Rhinolophus ferrumequinum: one gene and its partner. The protein of the gene in region 2 interacts with the protein of the main gene of each other region in a biochemical or structural test. Links are inferred from orthologs where the notes say so. Each region holds a gene or a part of one and is shown on either strand. Other genes may lie near its edges. The genes, in order: ROCK1 and LIMK2.

Region 1 (3,912 bases), on a different chromosome or scaffold from region 2:
TCTCTCTTTGGTTCCCCCTTTTCCTCCCCAACCCTGCCAATCAGGTTCCATCAATTCCTCCTCCCCCATTCTATACCCCAATTTTGGGCTTCAATCATTTCTGGACTATTAATTTTTTTAAAACTCCCCAATCTCACCTCATCTCTCCTCTCTTTCCACATAACCCAACCTTCACATAGCCACCAGATTCATCTTCTCATTCATCCTGGCACAGTCTTGTTTACAAATATTTTATAGACACAACACACTGAAGAAAATCTAAATTCATTAGCCTAACTATTAAATCCTCCACACTCTAACCCCAATTTATCCTTCCAGCTTTACCTTCTGTTCCCCTAAACATGTCATAGCCAGTCATGTCTCCACCCTCTACGTATTCATGCTATCCTCCACTCTCCCTCTAAATAATCTCTCTCTAAATCCTATCCATCATAAAGCATACCCTGGCTCAACTCAGTGATTGCTTTTCAATATCCAAAAACATATTTATCCATAACAACTATTTGAAATTTATCACATATTTTCTCAATCTGTAAAGTGTTTTGCCTCGTTTCTGTGTATGTACATGTGAGATTAGGACTTGTCTTCCTAAATAGATTAGACTTTCAAGGAAAGAGTCCATGACTTACATTTCCTTGGATCCTTCACACTTCAATAAATCTGTGAGGTTCCCACCACATGAAGCTATGGCAAGAGGCTAGGAGACAGCTTTTAAAAAAAAGACTATACCCTTCCTGTAATGCTGCTTCATGGAATAAGGAGATCAAAAGGCAAAGTAAAATCAAAGATACTATATGGGAATTAGATAAATACTAAAAGAAGAATTAAACTTCTTAGAAGTTATAGAAAACCTTACTAGAAAGATGTGTTCTAACTCCTTCCACTTCTCTCATTCAATAAAATGTTTTAAATTGTATTAAGCATCAACCCTCTTTTCTGTTTTTCAATCTGAAGAGCACCCACAATGTGGGGTACACATTTCAAACATACGATTCACCAGACTCATTTCATAGTCAAGGATGTTTACAGTAATTTTGAAAGCTTTGGGGGGAAAAATTTTCTTGTAAAACCATACACATTTAAAATATATAGCGGTATGCAGACTAAAATAAAATGCATGTTAATTTTAAACTACATGATTTTCCTGATTCAAGAGATTTTAAATGGCATTAATTTCTCTGAATGGCATAACAGTACTTTCTTCACTTAATCTTAATTCCAAATATTGTGTACATCTAACATTAATTCTGAGGAGGCTGTAAATTACTATCCATACACATTTTCCCTGCAACTTTAGAGATTATGTGGTTTTTGTCTGGACTAAAATAGAATTCTTATATAACTTTCAGTTGATCTGTAAAGTAAAAGGAGAAACTCGCTTACAGTTTGCAACTATTGGTATTGGAGGAAACTGATAAAACTTAAAAACTCCAGTCTGTCTATGCTAGCAAATCACTGATGAATTTTTAAAATAGAATTTTGTCCTTTCATATCACAAAATCTTCTTTAGAATGTTTTAAAAGTGACAATGTTAAGCACACCACTACCAAAAAAGGCAAATAAAATATCTGCGCAGTACTTTTGTAAACCAACAGTATTGTAAAAGACGTTAATATTGTGATGACCTATTATCAGTTTCCCTGGGATTTTACACTTTATAGTCCAGCAAAAAGTTCCTTCAAACTCAGTTCACCTGTGACATTTTGGCTCAAAAATCACTTCCTCAATATCGATTCTCTGTTGTCACTTCCAAGTCTAAAAACTAAACCCTTAGGAGCTAAATCGCTGTAAATGAAAAGTAGTCTTTCCGATAATACTGTCAAACCAATCACAAAGATTAATATTACTAAAACCTCCATTCAACAAACTATATATATGTAGTAATAACTCTGACGTGGTAACTTTTTATATGATGCCTGCAATAGAGGTTTGTAAGTATCTTTTGTGTAATGATGAACGAGAGTGGTTAGTACAGTCAGTCCAATTATAAACAGGGCCACGGCATGAGATTTCAGTAGTTCTCCAAGATTCTTCGGGGAAAAACAACAGATTTTGGTGTTGTCCAAGATTATGCACGCCTGAAACTTTGTTTTGCAGATGACTAGACTGAAAGCAAGAGGAAGGCAAATACGTACAGAAGCACAGACAAGCAAAAGAGAACTGCGCTACTTACTAGCAAACAATCCGAATTCACTTCCGATTTGGGATCCCGCAGCAGGTTGTCGATTTTTTCAAACCGAGTCTCAAAACTGTCCCCAGTCGACATGTTGCCGCTACAGTGACAATATCCTCGTACCAGCACCAGCAGCGGAAAGCAATTTCAACCAACTTCCTCCCGCGGTGGGTTAGCGGCCACGGGGCGGAGGAGCCGGAACCTCAGGGTCACCAGGTGCGCCCGGTTCCCCCTCTTCCCCCTCACTGAGGGGATCTCCGCTCTCCAAACCCCGGGCCGGGGACAACTGCGACCCACAGCCGCTCGTACGCCCAAAGTCGCATCCCACCCGGCAGCCCCTCACGACAGCCGACAGCGCCGTTGCCACCAGCCTCGTCGCTCCGGAGAGGTGCTTCAGCCTAGCGGGCCCCAGCCGCCTTCGCCATGGAGGATTCCCGATCCCGAGATGGGCAGGAGCGGGGAGAGAAAGAGAAGCAGGGTGGAGACTCCTCCGGGCAGCAGGGGAGGGAGAAGAGGAAAGGCGAAATCGAAGGGCGGGTGCGGAGCTGTGCCAGCTGCCGCAGCCGCCGCTAGGGCCACGGGCCGGGCCCGCTCCGCTCTGAAGCGCTGTAGGCGGTCTATCCCCGCATCCCTGGCTCTGCTTGGCCCGGGCCGACGCACCGATTCGTCCCGACCAAGACCTGGTCCCCGCGGAATAGTCTCACTTTCCCATTTTGTCCGGTCGCTGCTGGGGCGTCTGCCGCGGTGTCCGGCGGGGCAGGGCGAGGTCGGTGCCCGATGGAGACTTAGGGAAAGGCTGGAGAGCGAGCAGTGAGGAAGACGAGTCGGGTCCCGGCGACTGCTGATGGGGGAGCTTCTGGGACGCGCTGCGGCCCCGGCTGCGGAAAGGGCGAGTGGCGACGGCGAATGCCTGGGGGGGTGGGGCGAGGGGGGCCGTGAGGGACTAATATGTCCGCCTTCCTGTTCAAACAAACGGAGACCGCCGGCACGGACTGCGCATGCGGGGCGCGGACGTTCGGAAGGGGAACCGGACTGGCCCCGCGCGCGCGCGCGCGCGCGCACATACGCCGGCGCCTCCGCAGGGCGGGGCGGAGCGGGGCGGAGTGGGATGGAGGGCGGGGCGCGCCCTTGGCCTAGCAGACCGACTGGGAAGGCTGGCAGCGGGGAGGAGCCGACAGGGTGCGGCAGGCGGCACAGCCCTTGCCTTGGCAGGCAGGCTTTGGAGGAACCACACAGGGCTCCAGAGCTGCCGTGGAGGTCCGGGCGGGGGCGGGGGCTCTCGCTGCCTCTGTTCGCGTCCTAGCAGCTGCCCGAGCTCTGCTGCTTCTGGGCTGCAGCCGTCTGGAGAATTCTGACAAGAAAGAAAGGGTGCTTGCTGTTATTTTGGAGACAGGTTTTTTTTGTTTTTGTTTTTGTTTTTTAGGCAGGACGCTGTTTTGCTTGCAAGCACCAGTATTTTAGCATCAACGGGGTTTGGTGTACTTCGTCGTCGGTCCTCCATGAACCTCACAACGTCTATGATTCCTGGGAAAATTACAAAGCAATGCAGTACTCAGCCCTCCTAAACCGATCGTGTGTGTCAGAGGAGCATTAAAATAATCACTCCGGAAGATATAGTCAATAGAAGCCAAGCTCAATTTAGTTTAAAAGAAAATCTCATAGAAAAAAATCATTATTTTTAAGCTATTCATACTAGTTCTACACCATTAACACTCCCATTGTAGTTCTCTTCTTGATGT
Region 2 (3,912 bases):
CAGAAGTCAAATGTGACCTGTATTCATCTTTTGTTATCGGTGTATATTGAGTATTACAATCTTAACAGTTCTTTACTTTCTTAAAATATGTATACATTTTTTTGGCACCCTCTGTCTATGGTGATGGAAGCACTGACTCTGGGTGGTGAACACATAATGCAATATATAGATGACGTATTATAGAATTGTACACTTGAAACCTATGTAGTTTTGTTGACCACCGTCACCTCAATAAATTTTAATTCAAAAAAGTTTTTAAAAACCTTAGGAAAGAAAGGAAAGAGCGCTGGAGAAGTCCTAGGTTAATCCTGGCTCTACCACTAGTTGAAGGATCCTGCACAAATTCATTTTCCTCCCTGGGCCTCAGTTTCTTCTTATGTAAAACGAGGAGAGTTACATTACCTCAAGTGTCTCCTGGCTCTAGAATCTGTTAAAAGAGGTAAAACCTGTCTCAACCCAATGTCTTAGAGATCACAGGCACTCAGTAAATATTTGATTTCTTTGTTGTTGATTCTCCTGTTACACAGGAATCGGAGTTGTCTTGGAACAGTTTGGTCAGAACAAGTAAAAGTTTAAGTCCCACTTTCTTCTCTGATTCCAAAGGCAACCTCATTCTGGTGTTTGTGATACAGAGAGGATGAAGCACTGAACTTGAAGTTAGAAAATATGAACTCTGACCACTGCCATTTATTTGGCTATGGAAACTTGAACAAGTGATTTCTGAGCCTTAGCCTCCTCCCCATACTGGCTTTCTCTCAGCTCTTCAAAGGTACTACGTGCTTCCTACCTCAGGGTCTCCCCTCAACCTGGAATGTTCTTTGCCCTTTCTTTGCTGGGCTAATTTCTACTTAGCCTTAGGGGTCAGCATAAAAAGTATGCTTTTTAAAGGAAAGTATTCCCTATTCACTGTCCTCACCCCTAGGGCACTCTTATAACACTTACTTCAATTGTTTAATTATTACAGCATTTATCTCATTTGTTACCTCAATTACCTACCGTCCATCTCTAGGACTATAAGCACCACAAAGGCAAATGGCACTGTCTGTTTTGTTCATCACTATATTCCTCAGTGCTTGGCTAAATACATGGCGCAGAAGTATCCAACAAATATTCATATGGAAGAATGCATCAACTAATGCACCTAGAGGCTTGATGCCTCTAGCCAGGCTTTGGTTCACTCAGAGAAAACCTAATCCACACTCCTGCACTCTTAAGATCTTTTACAAGTTTCTGAGGATCGAGATTCAAGACAGGGAACCTACGTTACACAGAGGTTAGAAAGTCATCAGAAATCATTTCAGCTGAAGAATTCTGGAAGCTAAAAAAATAAAAGGAAGGAACAGGATACAGTTCTACCCCTAGCCCTCCAAGAATAAGGAGAAAATCCCACACTCCCATGGTGAGGAAGTGACCCACTCGTGGCCTGGTCCTTGTATTCAGGATGGAGGAAGTGACTGTCTAAAGGCTGAAAGCCAGGAAGTGGGGGCACATATCCAGGACAGCCTCCCTCCTCCACTGTTCCCTCCTGCCACCTGTAGAAAGCTTCTGGACGCTGACCCTGGTCACCTAGAGGCTGGGCCACTCACACAGGTGGCTGGGAAACACAGGCAACAAAAAGTCCTTGTTGCTGGGAGACAGCGGAGGAGGGCAGGAAGCTGCAGGGTGGTGTGGGAGGTGACTGGGAGAGGACCGCAGGTCCAGCTAAGCTAACCCCGAAGCTACCCTTGCGCCCCTGGAACACTCTTCCAGGAGGTGTTTGGTCACATTCCTCTCCTGTCTGACAGAGGACAAGGGAGGACCCAGCTCCCATGGGAGGGCCCATAATCCCAAGGGGCCTACCTTCCCCAAGAAGAGCCCACATTCACCTATTTCCTGCAAAGAGCCCCAAGACCCAGGGGACCGCAGGCACCAAGATATCTGCGAGACATCTTGGATCCTGTCAGGAAGTGATACTCTCCTCCATTTTTCACCGCAAATTCAGAAGCCGGGGTAACTCTCCATCCCCTCACAATTATCTCGAACGCTGAGGATCCCGTAATCCCGATACTCCAAAACACCCAAACTTCACCTGAACCCACACCCCTCAACTTCCTTGGAAAGGTTTTTCTTTTTCTTTTTTTTGAGAATTTTTATGCGAGTTTGAGACGAGCTGATGACATGCTGGGAAGCAAGCTCTCAAATGCGCTCCTTAGAAAGGGTTTTAATTTGGGAACCTGCCAGGTCGCCGCCAGGTCCACAAAAAAAGCTGCCCCCCCCTCGCCCGGCAGAGCCAGCATCCCTTCCTCCCGGGGACCTCAACTCGCGGGAAGCTGCCCCCCCCCCCCGCATGCTCCTTGGAGTCTCTAACGTCGGCTCCCCAATTTCCGGAGCCCCACAACCTCCGAGGCTCCGCGGTGCTCACTCCCCAAATTCTCCTCCCAAGGACCCGGGACCCATGGGGGTTCACTCAGCCCGAACGCCCCCGAGGCCGCCGGCTCCCTTCAGGGCCCCGGCTTCCGAGGTAACGGCGGGACAAGATAGCGCGGCCCCTCCTTACCGGCTTGCGCAGCCATGGTCCCGGGGGCGCGGAAATGGGGAAGAAAAGGCGGGGACCGCAGCAGTTTCTCTCAGCTCCCGCCGTCGCCTCGGGCGCTGGAGAACCTCAGCCCCGGGCACCAGCGGGATGCGCCGCCTACGGGACCCGGGTAGGACCAAACCGCACCTGGCACCAGGGCCCGCCCGCCGACGCCCCACCCTGCCGACGGCCCGCCCCGGGGACCCGGACCCGCCCCTCGCTTGGGCTTTGCGGTGGCCCTGGCGCCCCCTAGTGCGAGCTCTGCATCCGTGGGTGCCAGACCTGGTAAGGATGATTCTGCGCAGGCCGGAGGCCTCAGCACAGAGGACCCATTTTACAGATGGGGACAGCTGAGGGCCAGAGAGGACAAGTTCGATTTTCTCAAAATAGCAAAGCTCATTAGGAGCTGAGCTGGGATGGAAAGGTCTCCTGACTCCCAGTCTAAAGCTCTTTGAAGTTGAATGTTTGGAATCAAGAATATGAATATGGAAAAACAAGGTCTACCCCACAAAATAGCTTTGGGGGGGATGGGTGGGGGTTGAGGGTGGACTTTTCTTAGAAGCTTCCAGTTCAGAGATGCAACTTCTCTGCGCCATTAAGATGACACTCAGTAGGTAATCTCTAAGTCAAAGATGGCATGGAGGTGGTGCAGCCACCATTCCATGGCAGTTCCTTAGCTAGGCCAAGTAGGTATATAAATGAACTCAGCACATCAGATCTTCCGGTTTTTGAAAACAAGCCCCAAATTAGATATTAGGTGAAATTTCCCACTTTTAAAAATGTTGGGAACATGTAAAAAGTCTAACAATGCCATGTAGGCCAAAGGAAACACACTTGTGGACTGGATTTGCCCTGTGGGCTCCTCTTTATAGAGGGAGCACTGGATGAGGAGTTAGGACAGCACACTGGTTTCTGGAAGCTGCTAGCTGGCTGAGGGGCCCTGAGAACCATTTCCCCCCCATGGGCTTGGCAGGGAATTGGGGTCCTCCATGTGATGAAGGGTTGACCACATCATCTGGTCCCTGAGGTCCCTCCCATCTGATTCTCTAATGCTGGATCTTTGGGAACTCATTTCCTTAGATCAGATTTAGGTCATGGGAAAAGTGTCCAAATGACCAGGAAGGGACAGGGATGGGGCCCAAGGAAATGGATCATGACGCCTCCACCAAGGACAAAGGTCAACCCAGCTGCCTCTGGTCCCAGCACTGAAATAAGCAAATATGAGTGCAATTCTCTTTCTTCCTGCCCTGACCATTTAGTCCAAACCGGATGCAGGTCAGATTTTTCTCCTCTGGGTGTGGCAGGTGGCTCCTGATATCCTGAGCATGCAGAAAATGCTGGGGGTGGGAAAAGGGGGT

What was found.
Region 1: of the proteins of LIMK2 (region 2) and ROCK1, one has a biochemical effect on the other in vitro, tested with the Homo sapiens proteins (2 studies listed by BioGRID). The link is inferred for Rhinolophus ferrumequinum from reciprocal best matches to the Homo sapiens genes LIMK2 and ROCK1.

What each region holds. Positions count from the first base shown.
Region 1 is NC_046302.1:17,042,340-17,046,251, forward strand, and holds the start of ROCK1 (rho-associated protein kinase 1), read right to left. Parts: upstream 3,020-3,912; 5' UTR 2,267-3,019; coding exon 2,174-2,266; intron 1-2,173. UniProt on the Homo sapiens protein: Protein kinase which is a key regulator of the actin cytoskeleton and cell polarity.
Region 2 is NC_046308.1:20,215,804-20,219,715, reverse strand, and holds the start of LIMK2 (LIM domain kinase 2), read right to left. Parts: upstream 2,706-3,912; 5' UTR 2,553-2,705; coding exon 2,537-2,552; intron 1-2,536. UniProt on the Homo sapiens protein: Serine/threonine-protein kinase that plays an essential role in the regulation of actin filament dynamics. Acts downstream of several Rho family GTPase signal transduction pathways.